Linked DNA regions of Styela clava. The protein of the gene in region 1 interacts with the protein of each later gene in a pairwise test. Links are inferred from orthologs where the notes say so. Each region holds a gene or a part of one and is shown on either strand. Other genes may lie near its edges.

Region 1 (7,091 bases):
AAAAATGCAGTAGCTAAATAAAGAAATTATGAATAAGTTTCAGCAGCAAATGATGCAAAAGAGACAGCAGAGTCCAGTGGTGCAGCCAGGGGGTTTTCGGGGCCTGAGTTGCCATGGAACACATTATAATAAGTTGGAACTATACCATAGTCACTGAAGATAAAACAGTCAATTATGCATGCCATCAGTTAATAAATTATCGTCAGGGCCACACTCAATTTTTTTTGGATTATGCTGATACTGATGTTCAATCAATTTTTTATTGTACTAACATAAACTGTACTGCAATTTTATCACAGATTTTGTGATTTTATTATCAGCAATAACAAATTTGCGTGGTCGCAAAAATATGAATCCAAAGTAAAATCTAATTGTAGAATTCATATCACATTTTTATATCCACTGATTGCCATGGTATTTTAGAGTTCAAATACAATGTTATTTCTATGTGAAACGATGCAACCGCAAGATACGTTAACCACAATTTTAATGAGTAGCATAATCGCATCAATTGTTTCCTCATGCGTTACATGGGTATTTCTGACTCCGACCCCGCCCCACCCCCCCCCCCCCCACTCTACGCTGCAAAATCCTGACTGTGCCCCTGGGGATGTCTACTGCATCCTCAATTTATAAAACGAAAAGCCAACGCAATAATGCATTGGCAAAATAGGGACCACGTCAAACAAAATAAATATGTGTAAAGAAAACATTCCATACTAGTGCTTTCAATTGCCTGATTCAATAAGTGAATCGCAGTGTGAGCAATCAGAATAGTCTACAAAACTCCTAACTGTTATACTTATTTACAGTAGTAGCCTATTATAATGATTCTCAAATAGTTTTAGGAAACTTCCATCTCTCTTTCTATTCCAACATATTTTACTGCATCAGATTGACTGTAGCTGTAGTCGAAGAACAATTCCTCTCCTGCTTGTATCGGGCAATTTGAGAAAATTCCAATACGATGATCACCATTTACCATCATCACTTTAGCATAGCAATTAGGATGAACGGAATGATTGGCAAATCTAATTTTGTTTCCTTTACGAGTGGCATCCACAACAAAATCATTATTGAGATTAAACAGAAAGCTACACATGTATTTATCGTAAACTTTTCCACGACGATCTGCCTCATCCTGAGATATAATTTCTCCGCAATATTCAGAAATGAATTCATTTTTGTTGGGCACATCTTCTTTTATATAAATTCCCCATCCGGCAACATCAGATGGAGCCAAAAGTAGATGCTTATGGAGACCTCTTTGTATTGAAACATTCTTACAAGAACATTTACTTGCATTTGTGCCGAGCTGGTCAGCACCACAAAGAGAGCAGAGGTCTGGATCACACTCTCTCACTGCAAGATAACATGGGCATTGCTTGGTGTTACATTGAGCTTTACAACGACATCCTGGAAAGCGATTATGACAATCAGACGGACATTGGCAATACTTTTCGCAAAAATTTCCAACCATAATGCATTGACAATTGCTGTCGCAAGGCTGTCCTGGATGATTACAAGGCTGGTAATTGTAAACATGATTGCTGGACGAATCTCGTTTCAGTTGTATTCTTCTAGCATGGAGAGACCAAAGTCTGTGCTTCCTTTTTTTCTTTCTGGGAGAAGCTGAATCTCTCAAATCATGTTCATGTGGATGAGGTTGTGAACCGCTGTCATGTTGCGAGCGTGTAGCTTCAAGTAATGCAAAGGCATAAACTTCTTGGCAAGATTTAGTTTTAATAAGTTTCGAAATCGAACAAAAATTGTTTGGGTAATTTGTTCTTAATACCCGATACAGAGTTGACTCTGCTCCATCCCATATAGTTTTAGTCAAATTTTCAGGAACGAGTTCAAGAAATGATGTCATTGATTGTGTTGTAGGTAGTTTTTCAGTATCTGTCGCATCTGTATCCATCTCACTCTCACTTGGGGCAGGGGTACTAGGTCGACTTCCACTGCTGCTCCCACTTCTTCCTTCGCCTTTAAGCTGAGATTTCTTCTTTGACAATCCTCTCTGCAAATGTCTGTGAGGTTTCTCTGATATTTCACGATAATCTTGTGCACCTTCAAGGTGTTGGAAACAATCAGCACCACAAGGTTCTGTAGGTGTTCTAACATCTTGAGTTTTTCGTTTACTCGTTTTAATAGGTGGTCTATAAAGATGACTGTGTTGAAAACAATCATATTTGTAACAGCGTCTGCAAAATAATTCATGAAAAGAATGCAATGCTTGCTCCCTTTGTACTGATTTAGCATTTGCACCATCGATATTGGGAGTGCATTCAGGAGGTTGTGCATCGGGATCCATCAATTCAGTCAGCTCCTTATATTTATCTTTTAAATCTTCACCTGAACCTTTATCAGGAAAATAATCAGCAATAGCATCAAATATTTCATCTGCAGGAAATGTGTTTGTACCAGAAGCAGATGACGAGTCTGAATTTTTATTTTGCTCCGCATCTGCAGTTTCCTTCTCTTTCGCTGGATCTGCATCTTCATTGCTTGATTCGCTTGTAGTGTTGTCTTGTGATGCTTCATTTGCAGCACTATCAGTTCTGTAACGACTTCTCAAAGGACGACGTTTACGACTGATATTATATTTATTCAGTGCATCAACAAGATCAACAAATAATTCATCACTTAGAAAACCACCTTCTCTGTCCCCATGCACTTTACCATCATAATTCATAATCAACTCTTCTAAAAAACTTCCATCTTTATCCAAAGCTTCGTCCCCCATATATGGAATGTTATGTAGAATTGTTTCATCTTCAACCATGAAATCCTGTTGAACTGGGACCCATGTATAATAAACAGGAAGACTTGGCACAGCTTGCAGTGTACATAAAGGAACAGACTGATCACGGAAAGCATGAACACTACTTTTCACTGTACAGCATCGAAGGAATGGTCTATTTGTAAAAACCGGTTCTGAATCTGGTTGTTGTACTTTGTACTTTTCATTTGTTTGTTCCAATTTTGAAATTCTTTCGTTCAATTTTACTCTGTTATTTATGAAAGCTTGTTTAATTTTGTCACTACGTTGATATCTCTTCGCCGATCTAAGCGTGATGTATTCACTTCGTACAATTTTTTTCCAATCCATTTTGTTCTTAACTAATTAACTAAGCAGTGACACAAGCTGAAAATAACAAAGAAGCATAGTTCAATAAACTTTAAAAAATAAGCTAATATAGCCGCATACCTGTCAAGTGAGACAAAATAACAAAATAAACGGAAAATTACTACTAATATAATCTTGGTGAAAAACAATTTGTGTCACAATGCAGTACTATTTAAATTTTCCAATTTGATTTTTTTTTGCTGAAAAATATATGCTTTTCAATTCACCAAATTCTTATTACAAATACATAGAACAATCCATAAATTCCATCTTAATAACATTGACAGATTATTGAAAACCATACCCATATAAAAACTGTTTCAATAATAATATTCTAAATGAAACATAATTTAAAATTAGTGGGGACTCATTCACTACTGTAAAGTTTGACCCCAATTGGGAGAAACAAAATGATGATTCTATGTCAATGCATAATACTATAGCCTAGTACACAGGTTTCACAATCAATTCTAATTTTCAAGATTATTTCGATATGATGTGAAACAAAAGACAATTGAAGTTTTAGAGATATAAGTTTGATGAATATAACTATAATGAGAGGAAAATCATCTTTCTTCCATTCTGACTTTCGGAGGTTTGAAAGGTGCCCTCGTGTCTTTTTTCTTCTTCTTTTTATCCTTCTTAAAATTTTGCCAACTGGAAACTCTACCTTGACGACTTTCCTCAAAGTTTTTATCCCATTCTTTCTGCTGCTTCGCTTTTTCTTTTTCCTCAGCTTCTTGTTGCGCTTTCCTTTTTCTTTCATTCATTTCTCGAGTTTCCATCTCTTTACGAACAATCGCCATGTCAGCAAAAAGTTTACAAGTTTCTTTGTGTAGTTCTGATTCATAAACATGCGGATCATCTTCTGGTATTTCAGCAGGTTTTCCTTCCTTTTTCAATTTCTTCCTTTTTTCTTTCAATTTCGTTTCAAGTCGTACTTTTGCATCTGAAACTACACCTAAACATTTTTCTCTTTCTTTATCATCATTTAGTAATTCCCATGCTTTTTTGACAGCATCAAATGACTTTTGTGCGAGCTCTTTTTGTTCTAAATTTTTATCTGGATGAACAAGTATAGATAAGCGTCTGAATTTCTTCTTAACATCTGGTAGAGGAGTTTCTGGCGTAACTTGTAGAACATCATATGGATTAAGATTAAAATAAGTTGATCCAGGTCGATTTAAACGATCAATCTGTTGTTTTGGTGTTAGTACTGAATCCGCGGCTTCAATTCTTTTCACTTCGGACATATATGTATTGAATGCATCTTCAGCCTTTGGATCAGAACTGGTTGAAGCCATGATTAAGATTGAAATTCACCTATTTACAACATTAGCTGAAAATGTAATTGAATCATTAGGTTTTAACTTGCTGACTTAACCAATCACAGAATCAAATAAATCTCAAACAAAAAGCATGGTCCAGATGAAGTTAGGAATTACACCAAAATATAGTTGATAGTACTGTCACACTGCAGTACATGCATCATGTTGAATTCTTTTAGAGAAATATAGCATATACAGATATAGGTGAGGCGACTTCGACACAAAATTCCCCACATAATTATGTCTGTATGTGTAGAATATTTAAAATTGAAATAAATTACTTGATAGATGGCTGTATTACAGAAATAGGTACCGGTACCGGTACCAAACTATTTGGATATTGACACAAGCCAATTCTGCAGTTCCAGTAGAGCACAGTTCTCATATTCCATGATGTCCCGATATTTGGTACAATAAAACAATCTATTTGTGAAACGAGCCAGTTAACGAGGGGGTGACACAACGGCAGATCGATTGTCTCCATGATTGTCTCAAAAATAATTTAAATCAATCCAACATGCGTCGGCCGCCACATGACCAAAATTGCCTTTTAGGGGTTAGGGGGGAGGCTACTGGTATGTCGACTAGATCCTAACCTAAATTATCAATTTTCATAGGCCTGTTGGGCCTGGTCATCTCAAAGGTTACCGTACCGGTATTAATATTTAACATAGGCCTACAAGTCTGCTTGTCTGCTCTATTGTCTTGTTCAAAAGTAGAGACAGATTGTCTCGAAACATTTCCACATTACATGACCTCTTACTGTCTTAATTAACAAATTTTCAACATGCAGTCAGTCAGAAAGTGTTGCAAAACCATAAAACAGTAAAACGTGAGAACTGAGATGGGATCAAAAAATTCTTAGTCGCCAATTTATATTAATAAAAAATAATACTCATGAGTTTGAATCTCTGACGTTTGAGAAACGAGGAAATGCACCGTCGCAGTCGTGGGTTCCCTGTGAGTTGCATATAGCCCTACCGGAACGCTTTGCCCTGCACTGGCATCAGAGCATGCTTCCTAAAGGATTCGTGAATCCTATTCCTGCACGCTGAAGTAACAGCATAAGCGGCGCGGCAAGCACTATACCGCCACTCCGCGGCAGACCGGGTTTGGAAATTTTCCCAAGTGCCGTTCACAAGAGACCGAGAGAGAGATTTTATTGGACACGTAGTGGACATAACGATCGTTTCAATATTATGTTGTTGTTGTTCTTGTTCTTGTTATCCTTGTTGTTGTTCTTTGACACGTTTTTAAAAAGTCGCTTTTCTCTTCGAATACTGGACCAATTGCTTTGAAATTTTCAGTGGTTGAAGATAAAATTTTTCTCCAGAAGGCTATTACTTTTTTTTTCGCTATGACGTCATCAAAATTATTGCCATTGGGTGGCGCTACGTGTCCATATATTTGAGCATAGCTCTCTTGTTTTATAAGTAATGTCAACACTATAAAACAGTGATTCTCAACCTTTCATAGCTCGTGGCCCCCTTCCGGCGCATTTTGGCACTTGTGGGACCCCTGTTCGCCATTTCAAAAAACCAAACGTGTTAGATTGTATTATGTTTTTTACGATCTTTTATTGAATGCAAAAGCAAACCACAGACAAGAAAGTGAAAGCATTTTAGTATACAATCAATGGGAATCTTGCGCTTGGAACTGTCTGACGAGGCTTCTAATGCTAGACATCGTCTTTAATATAGCCGGACGAATGTCACTGTTACCATTAACGGCAGTTTTTAGATTTTGTTTTGATGGTAACAAGATCAGAAAAACCAGATTCGCACTAATAAGTGAGTTGCGGCAAATTGAACTAGCAATGAAGGAGCTTTCTTGCTAAGTAGTGGGTAAGAATCTGATATGCTACTTCATAGCGGGCTTTTCCGCTGATAAAACCGGACTTGGCCAATATCTTACCGATCCAACTCGCTTGACAGCCAAGAAACCGATATCAACGTCTTTCACCTGGGGATGATTTTTGTCACGATGGTTTTGGAGTTTAGATGGAGGTAATGATTTATTGGTAATTACATGCAAGCATTGAGCACATTCTCTGTCATCTCGATTTTCTTTAGTAAAGTAAAAGCCAACGTGACTGTCGTTGCATTTTCATATTTTGGGCATTTGGAATTTACAAATGGGTTTTTGAGTCTATAATACGATAGCGAATGTTATCTCGCAGTCAAGTGAAACTGCCCGTCTACAGGTTGACGGCCTACCGGCGAACTATTTTGATTGGTAGATTCTAAGTTCCATTATGATCAAACAATTAACGCGCAAGAAAGAGAATACACCCTGCGATCACAAAGAACGGAGTATTTTATTTTAAAAGGAAAGTATGCAAACAAAGTCGCTTCGTGAATTCTTAGCCTTGTGTCGTGGTCCTCCTTGACCTGCTTCGTGGCCCCCTTGGGGTGCCACCGGCCCCCGTTTGAGCTGCTATAAAACATTTAAAGCAACAGAAACAAAAATATAATAATTCAATAATAATTGGTTATCATTATTCGTGAGGGTCATTATAAAATACCGGTTAGGTCACCGTGGCTCCTGGCCCATGCTGTATGCCACGATGGGGAGTATTGCACTTAATGAGGCACAGTAATTAATACAAACATGTTCTGCAACCTGGTATTCTT
Region 2 (8,065 bases), on another chromosome or scaffold:
CATGATACAGAATATTAAAATGGAATCAAAAATGGCATTTCAGTGTGATGGAGTTGCGTTAAATTAACTAAAAAAAAACCTCAATGACGACGGTGGGTATTTTTTTAAACTGTTTTTAATAATATTACTCTGAACACACACTCACTCACTCAGAAGTAAAGAAGACTCATCTCTAAGCAAAGTTACGGGCACTCACTCAGAAGTAAAGATAACTCTGAGTACTCGGTAGTAAAGGAGAGAAAGGTTATGAAAGACCATTCAAGAGTGCATGAGACAATATCTGAGCAAGGTATGGGCGCCACTGAAATATCAGAAGCTATTTGATAGCTTTACGGTGAATACTTTTCAACTAACCTATGGCGTCCATTTCTTTCCATATAAACTGTAGAAAACTCAAACTTTGTTCCTTTCCTTCGAGCGTCAGGATTCACTTCCTTCACCAGACTTGTTAATTCTTTCAATGTTGCATCCATCCTGTGTAAAAAGGGATGAGACTAGTTAATTTTATATATTTAATTTCGCTGACCAAAGTTACGAGCACTCACACAGGAGTATGGGAGTCTCATGTCTGAGCGAAGTTCCGAGCCCTCACTCAGATTATTCCTGGATAAAACTACAGGCCAGTCTGGATTTCATGGCCTTTTTGAACGAGAAATAGAGCGTGCAATCAGAAATTCCCGGATACTGGTACTGTTAAGTACATTTAGATCAAAACTTAAAGCACAATTATTGGAATTATATTAGCTTTCGTGCAGGACATTCTAATCTCCAGGCATTATTTTTCAGATACAAAGGGCTCTTTGATGATTGGTGGGAAAAAGTTGAGAAAAGACTGGCAGATGAAAATATCTCCGTTTGACTATGTCATCATGAATGCAACCAACTTCCATTGCTCAGGAAACAAGTCTCGGGCAACCCACTATTCCATTGTCTCTAGTTCCTGCATATTTTTATGGTTTATTAGCTTTGTACAGTTACTTCATTGGATCCTTGCTAATGAAAAGATCATCTTATACAAATTAAATTTATCATGCTGAGACGTGGTGACAATAAATTCCACACAATAGCGCCTATGAAGTTGACCTGCATTTTATGCCAGACTCTATTGTTCTCATTACTTTTGTCGCATACAATTTAGAATTACCAACTCGAGTGTAAACAACGAATTTCTACATATGTCCTATATTATTTACCTTTTTAGAACCTAACCCTTTTGTGTCGTGGTCCCACCCAACGTTGGTTTTTGGCTAGTTCATGTCTCGAATAAATTTTTACTTGTTTCGTACAATCTACCGTAAAACACACAAAAATGCGATTTCGATTTATACCCTCCATCATCAGAACCTTGGACATGAACGTGCCATAAACTGCCTATTGTACATATCATCGTGGTGCCGTACCTCTTCGTCCTGTGTATTGCACAAGAGTTTTATTTGTAATTTTCATGTTCGTTGTCCTACTATAACGCAGCAGTCCTAAACTGCAGTTATACTTGTTAGCGTGCATGTCGCACATCTGTGTCTTAGGCCGGTAAGGTCTTGAAAATGTATCCAGTCTCTTTTATACCGTTTAACTATTATGCAGATACCGGTACTGTTACATTTTTGAGGCAAATAAACATACATCGGTGTAAAATTATTGAATGAAAAATAAGTTGGGTCAGAGCAAAATTGGACGACCCGAACATTATTTCTATACATTGTCATCAATTTTGGGAGTGTTTTTGCGTAAAATTATTGGATGAGCAATACGCTGAATCAGAGCCGTAACTGACCAGGAGTCAGTCGGCGAGGAGTCTGGCGTTTTTTTCGCCCATAACTATTCTCACAGGATTCCTATCATTCAACACGATGCGCCATACCGCCAAGCAATTGTGGTGATGAATTGTGTGAATGTATTATGTGCAATAACACAAAAGTAAAACAGACTCGGGCCCATGAGTAATATTGACAAACTCACAAGAATGGCGTTATCTTAGACGTATGTGCGATGCAAAACAGGTACCAGTGAAATCATGTATACGAAACACGGTTATCATGCATCGTTGATTGTGAAGGGTTCAGTGTAGTTTCTTACTTCTAGTGGGCGTAGCATAACACAGTAATGTGCGACTGTGCAAAATCGAGCAAGCTATTTCTCTCATTTTCTCGTCGCAATAATCCCGATATGAGAGTCGAGTTCTTTATCGTCGGTGCAGATGCAATTTCAGTTATACGTTGGCAAGCTCTTTGGCTAATTGCGATTTTGAGATGGCGTAGTCAGGTGGGGGTTAGGAATGACATGTGCAAAAATTGTTATACTAAGCCCATTAGGAGTACTCGAGATACGAGACCAGACACTTTACACACGCCTATTTTATACACTCTCTCTCACAACAAAGTGACAGTGAACAATTCAGCAATTGGAGTTTGATAATTCAGTAATTTAAGGACAGATATCATCTGACAATAAAATCAAAAACTTAGATGGAAAAAACGCATTATTATATTTCTGATTAAGCTTCAACTGAACACTAAACATGGAGAATTTGTTCGGAATATGATTAAATCATCCCAATTTAGTTTGCTTTATGTATTTCAGAAAACTAATGTCATTGATTAGAAGTCCACGATTTAAAAATCAACAAGATTGTACAAACACAACACTTACCATGTGTAAATCTGTAATTCATTATTTGGCACATTCCCTCGCGCATAATCACTCAGAGGATGGTGTCTTCCATTGCAAGTAAAAACCCTCAGCAAGAGTGGACAGGTTTTCTCTCTATCAATAGCTGGCTTTGGCGCCGGCTTTTCTTCCGCTGGCGCGTCCTGTGCTACACTCCTGAGTCGGTCTTCCAGTGAACCAGCTTGAGGCATAGCTATGTTTTATGTATTACTAAATTATTATCAAAATAACAGACGAAAGCAGAGATAAAACCTAGCAACTCTATCGTCACGTAACACACAGAAGAGCACGCGCACTAGAGGTACCGCGAATGAGCAAATCCGTTGGCTGTCAATCAAAATCGTATTTCCGCGTTTTAGGACGGCCCAGGCCAAGCAACCAACTTGCCTAATGTTAAACAGCTCCATGGACGCCATCTTGTGCCATATTTGAAAAACGCGATACAATGGAGTCTTATGGGGAATTTTCTTCGTGTTGTTGTACCGAATCAAATAACTCAGCTGTTAGTGGAGCAAGACTGAAACCGAAGGGTGGATTTTTACCGCCAAGCTATGAACTATGTAATAAAATATGAAGTACAACATGTCGGCAGTCCGTGTGGTCCTAAAGTTTAGTTTAGTTAGGATTCCTTCAGTTGTACATCGTCATCGTGATGATTATCGCTATCTCGTCGTCGTCATCATTACTGTGTTGTTTTCTCGTATTCGACGTGTCGCATTTTTCTCTTTCACGTGTTATCGTGTTACGTATTTATTTTATTATCGTCCCCTAAGCTCAGCAAGATGTTTAAGATTGCATTTCTGGTGGTAGCAGTTTAGGATTTCATTTCTTGTTATGGCAGTTTAAGATTACATCGCCTTTATAACGTTGAAGTTTGAATTCATTCAATAGTCTTCTTTTATACTGTATTTCGAATCGTTCGATATAACATTATGATATTTGCATGTCTACAGCTCGTATGGTATTGCATTTATAGTTACTGTTTTACCTTGGTTGTATATCTGTCGTTTTGGGACTATGCTGTTATATGGAGTTGTTTTGTGTAAGTATTAGTTTTATATTCTGTATCATTTGTCTTTGATTTATTTGGTGCTAATTATTTCATTTGTATTTTAGTCAACCGTTTTGAATACTTTCAATAAAACGAGTCTGGCAAATCGACTTATCATTTGAGGGTCCCAAAAGTGACAAAGTTGAACAAATCTCCTTGCGACGACGATGAACGAAGCAGATGAATCAATTACACAAGATTTGAATAGACGAGAAGCTTCTTCTTCGCCTGCAGTTCCTCTCGCGGAAACAGACGACGGTAACTCTGAAACTATTGGACGCAATGTATTATGCCACGAAAGAGTCCGACTACAAAATGAACTAAATGGTTTGTGCGACAGAATTTCAAAATCGATTACTGAAAATGCTCAAAATTCTATCGCTACTGATCTTAAAATTAAACTTCATATTAAACGAATTGCTTATGACCAAGTGATGGATAAACTCATTCCGACTACCCGTAATCCAAATGTTTTGAAGAAATATGAAACTGGAAGGCAAATGATGTTATCGAAAATCGATCAAATTGAAAGCAGAATTAATTCTTACCTTGACGAGGAGATCGTTTCTGATCACGGGTCTGTCGAATCCAATACAAGCAAATGCAGTGTTGAATCACTGAAGCGATTGCAACTTGAGCAAGAACGAGAGGTAGAAAGAGCCGATTCTCTTGTACGTATGGCTAAACGAGACTTTCTCACAGAAGAAGATACCATTCGCAATAAAATATCAGCACTAGAGCGTCGCCTTGATATAAACGAAAAAGAACGAATGGCAGATCTAACACGTCGCCAAGCTGACGAACTTATGCGTGAAATTGAACAAGAAAAGACTGAATTGGCTACCAAAAAGATGCCTAAAGATAACTTCCGTGGCGTCAATATTGAATATCCGTTAGAGTCAACACGCAGACGAAGTGCAGTGAACTTTTTTGTTCCGACGAAGAGTCAAGTGGCAACAAATTCAGAAAAGACCAAAGAATTGCACTTCCCGACAGCACGAACTTACAAACGCCCGTCTCCTGCAAACAGAATGCTCATACCACAAGAAGCAGTCGACGCGTGGATTGACCACTTGGAACCTAACCAGTCTGGTAAATTTTCTGTTAATTCTTTTAATATGTCAGTAGAGGAACAAACTATGTTATCATTACAGTTGAATTCTAGAATATTGTCCCAGCACCATTTATCGCCGATTACGATTCCTAGTTTTAGCGGAACGCCCCTAGAATGGCCAAACTTTATTGAGTTATTTTTTGATAATGTACACAGTTCTCTTGACGACGACGGTTCGCGTATGGTTCGCTTAGTCGCGTCTTTGACGGGGGTGGCTAAACGACATGTCGATGGCTTAGGCACGGTGGGAAGTAATTATATTGTCGCGTTGAGTGAATTGAAACATATATTCGGCCAACGGGTGACGATTGCTCGGGCCTTTCTCGAGAAGGTTGTAGATGGTAGACGAGTAACAGAATTCAGTATCCGAAAAATATCCGATTTTCATTCTGAAGTTCGCGACATTGTGATAAATTTGAAGAAAATGCGATTGCTTGCAGATTTGTATAGTATTGAAAATGTTAGAAAGACAGCAATGCGAATTCCGGCAGAACTGACCTCGAGTTGGAATAAGTTTGTGACTGATATGATTCGTGCCGACGAAATGCCGAGTTTACTGGACTTCGAGCAGTGGTTGTGGGAACGATGCGAGGAATTAGGAAATCCTTTTTCACCAAATCTTTTCAGTACTAAAATAGATCGTGACGATCGCAGACAGGCATTTCCTAAGAAGAATGTGGTATACCCTTTATCGGGTCATTCAAATCAGCCGCTCGAACAACCGCGAATGCAATGTTTCTATTGCAATGGTTTTCATTCTTTAAGTAACTGCGATAGCTTCAGGTTTAGTGCCAATGACACGAAAAGAAGATTTCTACTAAATTCACGCCTGTGCTTTAACTGTCTCGAACCTGGACATTTAGCTATTTCGTGCCGGTTCCGCAATATGTGTCGTGTTTGTCCCGGTAAGCATCATTCAGCCATCCATGGTTTGAGAGTCGTTCCTAATAGATTGAGTGATAACAATCAGCCTGATCTCCCTCCTCAAATGAGCGGCGTTGCCAATTCTCATGTTTCAGGCGTTAATGGTGTTCAGTTTCAGCTTTTGCCAGTCGTAGTAAAAGGCCCATTGGGATCCTCTGAATATGCTATCGCTGTTCTAGATTCTGCCAGTCAAATCTCAATAATACATCCCAAATTAAAACAAAAACTTGGTTTGAAAGGAAGTCCTAGGTGTCTAACCATTAACACCTTATGCAATAAGGGCGTTTCGCAAAATACGGAGGTGGTGAAATTGTCGGTGCGATCTGCTCACGACGAGAGTGGTCAAATTCTGATGTTAAGCAACGTGTTTGTGGTCGAGTCACGCATACCACATCCAGCTAGAATCCTTAAGAACGATCACAATATGACTCACCTGCAGGATATTCCGTTAACCGACATTGAAGCGAACAAAGCCATGATTTTAATCGGAGCCGATAATCCCTTGGCGCATTTCCAGCTTGAACGTAGAGTCGGCCAGCAACATGAACCAGTGGGTATTAAAACTCCTCTCGGTTGGACTTTGATCGGGTCTTCAGGCGCGACTAATGAAGATGAAACTGTTTCAAATATGCTGTGTTGTGATTTGCGTGACCAGTATAACATGCTGCAAGAACAAGTTGAGCGATTTTGGTCCACTGAAGCTGTAGGCACGGCGTACAATTTGACCCGTAGCGAGTCGATTGAAGATAGACAAACTGATAATTTGATGGAAAGAAAAATTAGATTTATCGACGGTCATTACGAGGTTGGGTTTATGTGGAGAAATGAAAATTGCAAAATGCCGCAAAACGAACACGTAGCGCTTAACAGGTTCGAAAATCTCAGAAAACGACTCCAAGGAAACGAACGTTTGCGAAACTTATATTGTAAAGAAATGGCAAAGAATATTGAAAGGGGTTGGGTGCGTAAGCTAACTTCAGATGAAAAGGCGTTTCGCGGTCCTCGAACTTGGTTTCTGCCTCATCATGGCGTTGAAAATCCCAACAAGCCAAATAAACTAAGAATTGTTTTTGACGCGGCATCTACTTGCTGCGGCGTCAGTCTGAACAGTCGATTGATGTCCGGGCGCGATTTGATCAATAATCTAGTCGGGGTGCTTTTACGTTTTCGGGAAAGACCAATCGCTATAAGCGCCGATATAGAAGCCATGTTTCATATGATTCGATTGCCGGAAGATGATACGGATTCTGCACGTTTTCTCTGGTCGGAAGACCTTTTTTCAACCAAACGGCCAGATGTGTATAAATTCTTAGTTCGTATTTTTGGAGCTGTGGATTCACCTTATGTCGCAAACTTTTGTTTGAAGAGAGCTGCGTACGATAGTAGAAACAAGTTTCCTAGAGACGTAATATTAACTACCGATAGAGACTTTTATGTCGATGATTTACTTACTTCGAAATGGAATGTTGATTCCGCGGTATCGACAGCTAAAGATATGATTAAGATGTTACACGATAAAGGATTCAACTTGACCAAGTGGGTTTCGAATTCTAAATCGGTTTTACGTGAAATATCCAGTGGACGTGTCGTCACTAATGTTGACTTAGATCTGGACAGATTACCTGTTAGAAAAGCTCTGGGCTTGCATTGGGACATCGAGAAGGATTGCTTTATATTCGACCACCAGAAATTTACTGAATTTACCACGAAAAGAAAGGCCCTTAGTGTAACCAGTTCAATATTCGATCCATTAGGATTTGTAGCACCAATCATTTTGTATGCCAAATTATTACTGCGGGAATGTTGGCGTGACAACTTAGCTTGGGACGAAGTATTTGATAATAAGAGATTGAAGTGTTGGGAAAATTGGATAAATTCGCTGAAATGTTTAAAGAGTTTTTCGATTCCACGTCAATTTAAAGGTGTTAAATGTGAAAGTTCCTCGTATGAAATTCATATATTCTGTGATGCATCAGAAGTGGCATATGGCGCGGTAGCATACATAATATCGAAGCATTCCCGGGAGAATTTTCAGTGTAGTCTTATCGCGGCTAAAGCAAGAGTCGCACCTATGAAAGGTATGACCGTGCCTCGTTTAGAATTGCAAGGTGCTCTCTTGGCCGTGCGATTGTTAAATTTTCTCCGAAAAGAACTATCCCTTCCACTAGGCGACGTACATATGTGGTCCGACTCGACTTGTGTATTGAGATATTTGAAAAATAAAACTCGAAGATTTAAAACATTTGTAGCCAATCGCGTTCGCGAAATACTCGATCACACTCGGCCACACCAATGGAAGTACGTCGACT

What was found.
Region 2: the proteins of histone-lysine N-methyltransferase EZH2-like (region 1) and histone deacetylase complex subunit SAP18-like interact in binary tests that used the Drosophila melanogaster proteins (3 or more experiments, as listed by UniProt). The link is inferred for Styela clava from reciprocal best matches to the Drosophila melanogaster genes E(z) and Bin1.

Annotation. Positions count from the first base shown.
Region 1 is NC_135251.1:26,461,664-26,468,754, reverse strand, and holds the start of histone-lysine N-methyltransferase EZH2-like, read right to left. Parts: upstream 3,113-7,091; coding exon 845-3,112; 3' UTR 1-844. Other genes in the region: dnaJ homolog subfamily C member 8-like, read right to left, coding at 3,697-4,434. UniProt on the Drosophila melanogaster protein: Polycomb group (PcG) protein. Catalytic subunit of the Esc/E(z) complex, which methylates 'Lys-9' and 'Lys-27' of histone H3, leading to transcriptional repression of the affected target gene.
Region 2 is NC_135259.1:21,874,621-21,882,685, forward strand, and holds the start of histone deacetylase complex subunit SAP18-like, read right to left. Parts: upstream 3,009-8,065; 5' UTR 2,859-3,008; coding exon 2,650-2,858; intron 475-2,649; coding exon 355-474; intron 1-354. Other genes in the region: uncharacterized protein LOC120332010, read left to right, coding at 3,886-8,065. UniProt on the Drosophila melanogaster protein: Involved in the tethering of the SIN3 complex to core histone proteins. Interacts with bicoid (bcd) to repress transcription of bicoid target genes in the anterior tip of the embryo; a process known as retraction.